Linked DNA regions of Oryctolagus cuniculus. The protein of the gene in region 1 purifies or fractionates together with the protein of each later gene. This does not show direct contact. Links are inferred from orthologs where the notes say so. Each region holds a gene or a part of one and is shown in the gene's direction. Other genes may lie near its edges.

Region 1 (4,336 bases):
CGAGGTTCTAGTCCCTGTCGGGGCGCCAGATTCTGTCCTGGTTGCTCCTCTTCCAGTCCAGCTCTCTGCTGTGGCCCGGGAAGGCAGTGGAGGATGGCCCAAGTGCTTGGCCCTGCACCCGCATGGGAGACCAGGAGAAGCACCTGGCTCCTGGCTTTGGATCAGTGTGGTGCGCTGGCTGCAGCGGCCATTGGGTGTGAACCAATGGGAAAGGAAGACCTTTCTCTCTGTCTCTCTCTCTCACTATCCACTCTGCCTGTTCAAAAAAAAAGTTTATTTTGGTGCAAAAATGTTTCAATCTATAAATATGAAGGGGTCTTCATAAAGCTGAAAAATGTGTATTAGGAAATACTTACGTGTGGATTTTTTTTTTTTGAGATATTAAATGTATTTGAAAGGCAGAATAAAAGGGAGGGAGGGAGGAAGGGAAGGAGACAAAGAGGGAAAGAGAGAGATACCTTCCATCTGCCGGAGCCTGGAACATCATTCTGGTCTCCCATGTAGGTGGCTGCCTTCCCAGCATATTAGCAAGGAGCTAGATCAGAAGCAGAGCAGCCAGGAATTAGCTGGCGCCCATATAGAAAGCCTGCAAGGCAAACAGCAGCCCAAACCCTTGCCACAATGCCGGCCTCTGTGTATGGATTTCAACTTTGTTTTTGCACCAAAATAAACTTTTGTATCAATTCCATTTTCTGTGAACTTCGAAGTATGTATCAAGTATATTGTAGAAAGATCATATCAAGCTATATAATGTATGCTTCACCTCAGATACCTACCATTTAGTTGTGATGAGAGTATTTAAAATTCTCTTTGAGCTATTTGGAAATATACAATATATTATTCTTAACCACAATGCTGAGTAGTAGCCATGCACCTATTTTACTGACAGATAGCTTAATATTTTCAGAAGTGATTCAAGTCTACTTGTTATTTATTAATTAAATTCTATTTTAATTAATTAAGTTAATTAATTAAAATGCTATTAACATTTCATTTTAGTTAACAGTTAAGTCTTTACTAACACTATTTGATTGAATCTGTCAGAAAGCTTGCATAACTCTGAGAACACTGGCATTTTCTAACTTTCCTTTCTGTCTATGGCCACAGAACAAATTATGGATTTGAAGGAGAAGCCAGGTAACACTGTTTCAGCTGGTCAAGAGGATTTCCCATCTGTCCTACTTGAAACTGCTGCTTCTCTTCCTTCTCTATCTCCTCTCTCAGCTGCTTCTTTTAAAGAACATGAATACCTTGGTAATGTACCAGCAGTATTATCCACGGAAGGAACACTTCAAGAAACTTTAAATGAAGCTTCTAAACAGCTCTCAGAGAAGGCAAAAAATCCATTTGTAGATAGAGATTTAACAGAGTTTTCAGAACTAGAGTATTCAGAAATGGGATCAAAATTTAGTGGCTCTCCAAAAGCAGAATCTGCCATAATGGTAGCAAACCCTAGGGAAGAAGTAATTGCAAAGAATAAAGATGAAGAAGAGGACTTAGTTAGTAATAACATCCTTCGTAATCAGCAAGACTTACCTGTGGCCCTTACTGAGCTGGTGAAAGAAGAGGACAAAGTTATGTTTCCAGAAAAAACAATGGACAGTTTTAATGAAAAGGAAGCTGCAGTAGAAGCTCCTATAAGGGAAGAGTATGCAGACTTCAAACCATTTGAACGAGTATGGGAAGTGAAAGATGCTTATAAGGAAGATAGTGGTATGCCGGCTGCAGGGGGTAGTATAGAGAGCAAATTGGAAAGTAAAGCGGATGAGAAATATTTTGCAGATAGCCTGGAGCAAACGAATCATGAAAAAGAGAGTGAAAGCAGTAATGATGATACTTCTTTTCCCAGTACACCAGAAGCTGTAAAAGACGGTTCAGGAGCATATATCACATGTGCTCCCTTTAACCCAGCAGCAACTGAGAGCATTGCAACAAACATTTTTCCTTTGCTGGAAGACCATACTTCAGAAAATAAGACAGATGAAAAAAAAATAGAAGAAAAGAAAGCTCAGATTGTAACAGAGAAGAATATTAGCACCAAATCCTCAAACCCTTTCCTTGCAGCAACACAGGATTCTCAGACTGAGTATGTCACAACAGAAAATTTATCAAAGGTGACTGGGGAAGCAGTGGCAAACATGCCTGAGGGTCTGACACCAGATTTAGTACAGGAAGCATGTGGAAGTGAATTGAACGAGGCTGCAGGGACAAAGATTGCCTATGAAACAAAAATGGACTTGGTGCAAACCTCAGAAGCTATGCAGGAATCACTCTACCCTGTAACACAGCTTTGCCCATCATTTGAAGAATCTGAAGCTACTCCATCACCAGTTTTGCCTGACATTGTTATGGAAGCACCATTAAATACTGTAGTTCCTAGTGCTGGTGCTTCTGCAGGGCAGCCCAGCTCATCACCGTTAGAAGCTCCTCCTTCAGCTAATTATGAAAGTGTAAAGCTTGATTCTGAAAGTCCACCCCCATATGAAGAGGCAATGAACGTAAAAAAAATATCAGGAATAAAAGAAGAAATTAAAGAGCCTGAAACTACTGATGCAGTTGTTCAAGAAACAGAAGCTCCTTATATATCCATTGCATGTGATTTAATTAAAGAAACAAAGCTGTCTAGTGAACCAAGCCCAGATTTCGCTAATTATTCAGAAATAGCAAAAGTTGAACAGCCAGTGCCTGATCGTTCTGAGTTAGTTGAGGATTCCTCACCTGATTCTGAGCCAGTTGACTTATTTAGTGATGATTCAATACCTGAAGTTCCACAAAGACAAGATGAAGCTGTGATACTTTTGAAAGAAAATCTCACTGAAACTTCATATGAGTCAGCGTTAGAATATGAAAATAAAGAAAAACTCAGTACTTTACTACCTGAGGGAGGAAAGCCGTATTTGGAATCTTTTCAGTCCAATTTAAGCACCACAAGAGATAGCCCATCACCTGATGAAGTTTTGACATTGACCAAAAAGGAGAAAATTCCTTTGCAAATGGAGGATCTCAAAACTGCAGTTTATGCAAAGGAGGACTTACTTGTTTCTAAGGAAGCCACAATAAGAGAAAGTGAAACATTTTCAGATTCATCTCCAATTGAGATTATAGATGAGTTCCCTGCATTTGTTAGTTCTAAAACTGATTCTTCTCCTAAATCAGCCAGGGAGTACACTGACTTGGAAGTATCCCACAGAAGTGAAATTCCTAATGTCCAGGATGGAACTGGGTCATTGCCCTGCTCAGAATTGCCCCGTGACCTTTCTTTCAAGGAGGTACAACCAAAAGATGAAGATAAAATCTCAGATGAATTCTCCAAAAATAGGTCTGATGTAGCCAAGGCACCCTTACTTCCTCCAGATGTTTCTGCTTTGGACACTCAAACAGAAATAGGCAGCATAGTTAAACCCAAAGTTCTTGTGAAAGAAGCTGAGAAAAAACTTCCTTCTGACACAGTGAAAGAGGACAGATCACCATCTGCTATATTTTCAGCAGAGCTGAGTAAAACTTCAGGTAATTAATCTATACACTGATTTGTGATTTTGTACTTTTATAAAATTTTAACAACAGAACATTCTACACTTTGTGCCCTATAATACTTTTTTAGTGTCTAATATATCACATTGATAATTCTTTATCACTGTCTCAGTTGAAGGTTTTAGTGCTTTATTTCCCCCTCTTACACTAATCACCCTTGCTGTTAACTTTTTCACACGGTTATTCATTAATCACTTTTACATTGCATCATGGCACTAGAAAACACATTTTAAAATTAGAATTGGTTTCAGTATCTCTTCTTCTGGGTGTGGGGACTTAATTGTTTTTCAATAGCGTGAAGAGCCAGAGATATTAAACCATTATTTTCAGATAGATTTTTGTTATACTAGAAATTATTATTTTTGAGGAAAACATGGCTGAAGCAAGCTTTTTTTTTTTTTTTTTTTTTTAAGATTCATTAATTTACTTGAAAGGCAGAGTTACAGAGAGAAAGAGAGAGAGAGAGACTCTCCATCTGCTGATTCAATCCCCAGTTGGCCACAACAACCAGAGATGCGCCAATCCAGAGTCAGGAGCCAGTAGCTTCTTTGAGGTCTCCCAAGTGTGTGCAGAGGCCCAAGCACTTGGGCCATCTTCCACTGCTTTCCCAGGCCATAGCAGAGAGCTGGTTCGGAAGTGGAGCAGCTGGAACTTGAACTTGCACCCATATGGCATGGTGGCACTGCAGGCGGTGGCTTTGCCCACCATGCCACTGTGCCAGCCCCTGTAGCAAGTTTTTAATATTTCAGTATAGTACAGTACTATTCCACTAACTGATATAAGGTCAGGCATTTTGAGTGTAGAT
Region 2 (4,336 bases), on another chromosome or scaffold:
GCACTCTGGGGCACAGCCGTGCTTTCCCAGGCAGGACGCACCCAGCGTGGCAGACAGGCTGTGGCCTGCGTCTGTTGTCTGCTGACGCGCCTGGTCACTCATTCACTGAGCAGTTCTTTAACGTGTTTGACTAGACACTGTCATCTGGTTAACGCAGATAATCTCTGACTTTCTTATGACGAGCATAAGCACACTCATTGCCAAATGTCAGTTCCTTTAGTAGCAAAGCATTTTCACACAGGAGACGAGTGCCTGGGACTCACATTTCAAAGACGAAAATGTTCCTTTTTTTTTTTTTTTTTTTTTTTTTTTTTGATTCACAGCTATTTCTTACATTTAAAACCAGAGACAAGGAAATGCTATTTCCCTAGATTTTTAGAGGTTTATCCTGTGTTAACGAGTCTTACATATTAAAGAACAGATTTTAATTTGGTTGAAAATCTGGCAGAAAAGATATATTTTGTTTCATAAATTGAGCTATGTGAAAGTCTAAAAAGTAGCAGAAGGTTAACGAGAAAGGAAGAATGGAAGTGGGGTGAGAGATTTGTACTTGGGTATTTGTGGAGCATGTTCAAAGAGGAAGGGTTTATAGCTCACGCCTTCCTTTCCTAACAGGCCACTGCTGAAGCCAACAACTTAGCGGCGGCAGCCGCTGCCAAGGACGTGTATTACAACAACATGGAAGAGGTATGTGGGCAGGTGCCTGATCCTGAGGTGTCGCGATACCTGACCATGCGGCTGTCTTCCGAGGCCCAAACTTGATCTGACTTGACACTGCAGGGGGGCTGGTATTGTGGCACAGCGGGTTAAACCATCACTTGTGATGCCTGTTCGAGTCCAAGCTGCTTGGCTTCCAATCCAGCTGCTTGCTAATGCACCCAGGAAAGCAGCGGAAGATGCCCCAAGTACTTGGGCGCCTGCACCCACATGGGAGACCTGGATGGAGTTCTGGGTTCCTGGCTTTGGCCTTGCCCCAGCCCTGGCTCTTGCATTCATCTGGGGGAGTGAACCAGCAGATGAAAGAGCACTCTCTCTCTCTCTCTGTCTTTTCTCTCTCTCTAACTCTGCCTGTCAAATAAATAAATAAATAAGTATATATTTTTATTTGACAGGTAGAGTTGCAGACAGAGGGAGAGACAGAGAGAAAGGTCTTCCTTCTGTTGGTTCACCCCCCAAATGGCCGCTATAGCCGGTGTGTTGCACTGATCCGAAGCCAGGAGCCAGGTGCTTCCTCCTGGTCTCCCATACAGGTGCGGGGGCCCAAGCACTTGGGCCATCCTCCACTGCCTTTCCAGGCCACAGCAGAGAGCTGGGCTGGAAGAGGAGCAACCGACACTAGAACCCGGGGCCCATATGGGATGCCGGCGCTGCAGGCGGAGGATTAACCAAGTGAGCCACGGCGCTAAAAAAATAATTTTTTAAAAAAGTTATGAGGCAGCAAAGCTGTATTCAGGCCATTGTGATAACCAGGTCCTTCTGATCACCATTTCGTTTCTTTTTTTTAAAAATATATGTGTTTTACTTATTCTTTTTTATTTAAGGTATACAGGTTACATGTATTTGGTGTACACCAGTTTAGGAGTGTGGTGATGCTTCCCACGCTCCCACCCTTCCTCCTCCTTCCTCTCCTCATCCTCCTCTTTAATTTTTACAGTGATCTACTTTGAGTTTATTTTACACTCATGAGATTAACCCTACACTAAGTAAAGAGTTCAAGAAATAATAATAATTAAAAAAACACTGTTCAGGGCTGTAAACAGTCATCGAAGCTCAAAACGTCGATTTCACTCTTCTGATGGTCATTTCTTTCCGTTTCCGGGCCACGCTGAGCTCCTCACTCTGCTTACCCAAGTGCGCTCTGCAGAGGAGTGAGACCAGACTTCACTGGTCTCCGTCACCTTCTGAGAGTTAACTGACGCTTGCCGCAGCAGCTCAGTTGTGAGTGTGTCACCCACCTTTCCTAGCAGAGTGCTGGCTGGAGTGCTGGCTGCTCTGCTCCCATCCAGCTTCCTGCTGCTGTGCCCCTGGGAGGCAGCAGGTGGATGGCCCGAGTGCCTGGGTCCCTGCCACCCACATGGGAGACCTGGTTGGACAGTTCTGGGCTCCTGGCTTCAGTCTGGCCCAGCCCTGTTTGTCGTGAGCATTTGGGAGTGAACCAGAGAAGAAAGATCTCTCTTTGTCTTTCAAACAAAATGAAAATAAACAGTGAAAAAGTTTTTTTTTTTTTTTTTTTTTAAGATGTATTCATTTATTTGAAAGAGTTACAGAGAGGCAGAGGCAGAGAGAGGAGCTGGGCCGATCCGAAGCCAGGAACCAGGAGCCTCTTCTAGGTCTCCCACGTGGATGCAGGGGCCCAAGTACGTGGGCCACCTTCTACTGCTTTCCCAGGCCACAGCAGAGAGCTGGATGGGAAGTGGAGCAGCTGGGACTTGAACTGGTGCCTAATGGGATGCCGGCACTGCAGGCAGCAGCTTTACCTGCTACGCCACAGTGCCGGCCCCGAAGTGAACACAGTGATAAGAGATTAACGTCTGATACTTAAAGCCTTGTAACCTTTGAGAGTCTTCACCTGTTTTTGAAGGGACCTTCGCCATGCCGTGTCTCTGTTGCCTGCAGGTTTGTGGGGGCGAGAAGCCTTACCTGTCCCCTGACATTCTAGAGGAGAAGCACAGTGAGTTCAGACAGCTCGCTCTGGACCACTTCAGGAAGACCAAGAAGATGGGCGGGAAGGACTTCAGCCTGCGCTACCAGCAGGAGCTGGAGGAGGAGATCGGGGAGCTGTACGGCAGCTTCTGCAGGCACAACAGCAGCAAGAACGTCTTCAGCACCTTCCGCACGCCCGCCGTGCTCTTCGCGGGCATCGTGGCCCTCTACATCGCCTCGGGCCTCACCGGCTTCGTGGGCCTCGAGGTCGTGGCCCAGCTGTTCAACTGCATGGTCGGGCTGCTGCTGATAGCGCTGCTCACCTGGGGCTACATCCGGTACTCCGGCCAGTACCGCGAGCTGGGCGGAGCTATCGATGTGGGTGCGGCCTATGTGTTGGAGCAGGTGAGTGGTGTGGGGTGATGGTGGGCGGCCGGGTCAGCTTCTGTCGTGAAACATCTCGGAGTTTGGTAGCAAAGAGGGCATGAGAAACCTCCCTGGGCCGTTTTTAAACTTCCTTGGCTTTAGTCTGTTATCCTCTTTGGGATAGGAGTAGTTATTCCTGATGTTTTGTTTCCATGACTTAAAGTGGGCCTTTAGTATATAAAAAGTTTCAAATTAGAGTAGGGTGTCCCTCACAGGAAACCTATGGGTGCTTTTTTTTTTTTTTTAAAGATTTATGTATTTATTTGAAAGTCACAGTTACACAGAGAGAAAAGGACAGGCAGAGAGAGAGAGGCCTTCCATCCGCTGGTTCACTCCTCAGATGGCCACTATGGCCAGAGCTGGGCCAGTCTGAAGCCAGGAGCCAGGAGCTTCTTCCAGGTCTCCCACGCAGGTTCAGGGGCCCAAGCACTTGGACCATCTTCCACTGCTTTCCCAGGCCACAGCAGAGAGCTGGATCGGAAGTGGAGCAGCCAGGACTTGAACCGGCACCCAAATGGGATGCAGGCACTGCAGGCAGCGGCTTTACCTGCCACGCTACAGTGCTGGCCCTGTGCGTGCTCTTTAGACACAATTCCTGTGTGATTCGGCCTTCTCCTCTCCATGATCTTGCTTTGCTGAAAATCAAGAGTCCTGAAAAAAATATGAACTCAACAAGAGATGACATCTCCTTCATTTAAAATCTTCCAACAAGTCAGCGGCTCTTTGCAGAGGTCGTCTCCAGCTTTACAGATCTTTGAGACTAGCTCGTGTCTTTCTGAGTGACAGGAGCAGATCGGGTAGGCCCGTAGCGTGGTGAGCCAAAGGAGCTGGCCGCCCCGTCACAGGGCAGAGGGTCCTGGGGTTCCGGGTGGGCAGCTCCCGCAGCCTCCCCTCCCCCCGCGTTCTCCTCTCGTAAGCCATCGCTGGGGGAGGCGGAGGTGTGTGTCTCCAAGGACGGCTCGTGGTGCTGAGTTGTGTTGCATTAACTTAGGTGTGAATGTGTGGACTCTTGCAGGCTTCTTCTCACATTGGTAATTCCACTCAGGCTGCCATGAGGGAGGCCGTGGTCGGGCGGCCTTCCACGGAGAAGAAAGCGCAGTAGCATCGGAACGTGAGGACCCTGCGAGAGCCGCCTGCCGCCGCCAGCCCCTGCCGAGTCCTGGCTCCCGCCGCACCACGGGGCCTGGCCGAGGAGCCGAGGCTGTGAGACCCCTGGGCAGCGCGGACCTGTGGCGCTGTAATAAATGACCTGGCCTCCCTGTGGGTC
Region 3 (3,314 bases), on another chromosome or scaffold:
CCTGGCCAGGAGGCATGGAGGTGGTGGCGTGCGGCTGGCCTGCGTGTTCCCGGGCGCAGGGGTCCCTGGGGAGGCACCAGCACGTGTCAGACCCCGAGCACGGGAAACCTCCGGGAGGGCTGGCAAACCTAAGCCTACGTCCCGCGGCTCAGCCGGTGGTCGCGAGGCGCCCTTGACAGCGGGGGCCTCCGTGCCCTAGGGTGGGCGGGGCTCGGGCTGCAGGTGCACACGCGGAACCGAGGTGCAGGGGGGCCGGGTGGGTCTCCGCCGGCCCTCCCTCGCTCTGCTGCCGCCGGGCCCCCGTTCTCCTGCGTTCCAGTCCTGCTGACCCACCGCTCGCTGGCTGGGGGTCTCCTAGCCGGCCGGTCCCTGAGGGTCCCTGGTGAACCCGCAGCCCTTCCAGCCTTGGGGCACTGTAGCCTGAGGAGGTAGAAGGTGGCCAGCCTGGAGACAGCGGCACTGTGTGTGCGGGAGGGAGGCAGGCGGGTCCGGCGGGGCTCCTGGACCTGGCCTGGGTCCCGGCCCTGCCTTTCCGGGCTCGCGGACTGAGTGCTGGGGCACGCGTCTCCAGTTCACTGTTCATCTCGCGTATACCCTGCAGCGGACGCTGCGCGCCCTGGGTGTGGGTGGAGTCAGTGCCCCCCAACCCCCACCACTGGGTGTGGGCGGAGTCAGTGCCCCCCCGCACTGGGTGTGGGCGGAGTCAGTGCCCCCCCCGCACTGGGTGTGGGCGGAGTCAGTGGGCCCGCCCTGGGTGTGGGCGGAGTCAGTGCCCCCCCCGCACTGGGTGTGGGCGGAGTCAGTGCCCCCCAACCCCCACCACTGGGTGTGGGCGGAGTCAGTGCCCCCACCCCCCACTGGGTGTGGGCGGAGTCAGTGGGCCCGCACTGGGTGTGGGCGGAGTCAGTGGCCCCCCCGCACTGGGTGTGGGCGGAGTCAGTGCCCCCCCAACCCCACCACTGGGTGTGGGCGGAGTCAGTGGGCCCGCACTGGGTGTGGGCGGAGTCAGTGCCCCCCCGCACTGGGTGTGGGCGGAGTGAGTGCCCCCCAACCCCCACCACTGGGTGTGGGCGGAGTCAGTGCCCCCCACCCCCCCACTGGGTGTGGGCGGAGTCAGTGGGCCCGCACTGGGTGTGGGCGGAGTCAGTGCCCCCCCCCCGCACTGGGTGTGGGCGGAGTCAGTGGGCCCGCACTGGGTGTGGGCGGAGTCAGTGGGCCCGCAGCGGGACATGACGTCGCCCCGGCCAGCCGGGGCTGGGCCCGGATGGTGGAGTCTTGGCCTCGGTGTGCACATCTGTTAAATGGGCTCAGGAACCACTGCCCGAGGGCCACGTGAGAGGCCACACAGAGGCGGGCTGGGCAGGGGAAGGGCGTGTGCGTGGCCTCCGTGCAGGGTCGTGGGCAGTGCCTCACCCCATCTCTCCCCGCAGCCTGGGACTACAGCCAGGGCTTCGTGAACCAGGAGATGATCCGGGACCACCTGCCGCCCCCCGAGGACGAGCCGCTGGTGCTGATGTGCGGGCCCCCGCCCATGATCCAGTTCGCCTGCCTGCCCAACCTGGAGCGCGTGGGCCACGCCAAGGAGCGCTGCTTCGCCTTCTGAGGCCGCGCGCGCCCACCACGCGCCGCCCGCCCTGCCGTCCCCCTCGGCCGCGCCTCTCGCTGGGCCTCGGGTTCAGCCTGGTCTGCCCGTGTCCCGGTGGTCAGCAGCCGAGGCAGCCCCCGGGAGGGGCGCCGCGTGTGGGCTGGGCCGCCGCCGGCCACTCCAGGAGTCCTCCCGGCCCCCACTGGTTGTCAGCGAGGACACACCCGCACGTGACCCCTCGCCACGCAGCACCGAGCCCCGCCGGCCCGCGCACACCTGCAGACGCAGCACACGCGGGCCCGGGCTGCCCTGGACCCTGGCCCGCCGCCCCTGCCCGCCGCAGCACCTGCCCCTACACTAGGGAGGAGGCTGGGGTGACAGGCGGGTGCTGGGCGGGGGAGGGGAGCGCGCGGCGGCCCCGCGTGGGTTGGGGGCCCCGCCACCTTGGCGGCAGCACCGCAGCCCCTGTGTCGCTGGCCTCCGGCGCCCGCCCAGCCTGGGCCAGTCCGAGCAGTGCCTCTGGGCCCAGGGACCCACGCCTCGGCCTCGCCTTTAGACAACAGCTGTTAGCCTCTCGCGTCGCCTTTTCCAGTCATTTATAAACAAGCAGAAACGAAACGTGAGACTCTCTGGGTGCTGGGCCGGGGTGGGGCGGGCCGGGCTTGTTGGAGACCCCGGCCCTGGCTGTTTCTGACCGCGCTTTGAGTGGCTGTGGCCGTCCTCACCCCCACCCCAGGATCCGCGCTGGAGTCGGAAAGCCCCGGTGTTCCGCTGCGACCCCTGCCCCACTCCCACACAGACTGTGGCCCCCAAGGATGGGTTCTTCCCTCCTCCACACAGGACACACCAAGGCCCTGGGCTGCTCCCCGGGGAGGGAGCGCCCCGCGTGCTGGAGGCGGGGCTGTGGGGGCTGCGGGCACAGCAGGTGCAGCCATCGCCCCACCCCCACCCCCCCACACACACCCGTGCCCCGGGACTCCAGCGGGTCCTCGTCTGTAAGGTGGTGAATCGGGTGAGGGGTGAGCATCAGGTCTGCTCCTGGAACTGGGCAGCAGGAAATCCCAGGGTGGGGACATGGCGGGCAGGCTCTGGCCTTGCTGGGGTGGGTGGCAAACGGGAGTGCCCAGGCCTTGGGGTTGGAACAGGCTTGTGGAATACGCTAGGAGCAGCTCCAAGAAGCCAGTGCAGATGGCTATGGGGGAGGCCCAGGGCCCCCAGGGGCACGGGAGTTCCTAGGAAGGCGGGCCTGGTGCCTGCAACGGGGGAGGGATCGCCACGTTCCAGGGCAGCGCAGGGCTCCTCAGTGCCCAGCACTCAGCCTGGGATCGCAGGCCTCGGCCGTGGCGGCGGGGGCGGGGATGGGTCTAGGCGAGGCCAGGCCCCCCAGGCGCCACTGGGGTCAGGAGCCTCCAGGCCGCAGCTCCTGGGCCACTGCGGCTACGTGCAGACGCAGAGGCCCTGCTGGAAGTTCCCACTGCTCACACCCGGGAGAAACGTCCTGTGTCCACCCGGGCTCCGCCCAGGAATGTCTGGGACGCTGCTGGAGCGCCCTGAGTCCCCGCCCGAGTGCCCGCCATCCCGGGGCTGCTCTCCCTCCGGCACTCAGAGCCTTTTCCGCGTGATAACTGGGAGGTGTGCAAAAGCGCACGCCCGAGGATTCCTGTCCCTTTACGCACTTGAAGGGCAGAGACGGCGGGGGAGAGGCCTTCCATCGCTGGCCGGGGCTGGG

The links. Proteins that work in one complex are often made in the same cells at the same time.
Region 2: the proteins of RTN4 (region 1) and ATL3 purify together in Homo sapiens (affinity purification with mass spectrometry; 4 studies listed by BioGRID and IntAct, counting the BioPlex papers as one, with this or other methods). This does not show direct contact. The link is inferred for Oryctolagus cuniculus from reciprocal best matches to the Homo sapiens genes RTN4 and ATL3.
Region 3: the proteins of RTN4 (region 1) and CYB5R3 purify together in Homo sapiens (affinity purification with mass spectrometry; 3 studies listed by BioGRID and IntAct, counting the BioPlex papers as one, with this or other methods). This does not show direct contact. The link is inferred for Oryctolagus cuniculus from reciprocal best matches to the Homo sapiens genes RTN4 and CYB5R3.

The regions. Positions count from the first base shown.
Region 1 is NC_091433.1:147,544,690-147,549,025, forward strand, and holds part of RTN4 (reticulon-4), read left to right. Parts: intron 1-1,107; coding exon 1,108-3,507; intron 3,508-4,336. UniProt on the Homo sapiens protein: Required to induce the formation and stabilization of endoplasmic reticulum (ER) tubules. They regulate membrane morphogenesis in the ER by promoting tubular ER production.
Region 2 is NC_091432.1:7,549,200-7,553,535, forward strand, and holds part of ATL3 (atlastin-3), read left to right. Parts: intron 1-615; coding exon 616-687; intron 688-2,616; coding exon 2,617-3,048; intron 3,049-4,084; coding exon 4,085-4,171; 3' UTR 4,172-4,336. UniProt on the Homo sapiens protein: Atlastin-3 (ATL3) is a membrane-anchored GTPase that mediates the GTP-dependent fusion of endoplasmic reticulum (ER) membranes, maintaining the continuous ER network. It facilitates the formation of three-way junctions where ER tubules intersect.
Region 3 is NC_091442.1:118,392,386-118,395,699, reverse strand, and holds the end of CYB5R3 (NADH-cytochrome b5 reductase 3), read left to right. Parts: exon of another isoform or gene 1-65; intron 66-1,430; coding exon 1,431-1,603; 3' UTR 1,604-2,203; downstream 2,204-3,314. UniProt on the Homo sapiens protein: Catalyzes the reduction of two molecules of cytochrome b5 using NADH as the electron donor.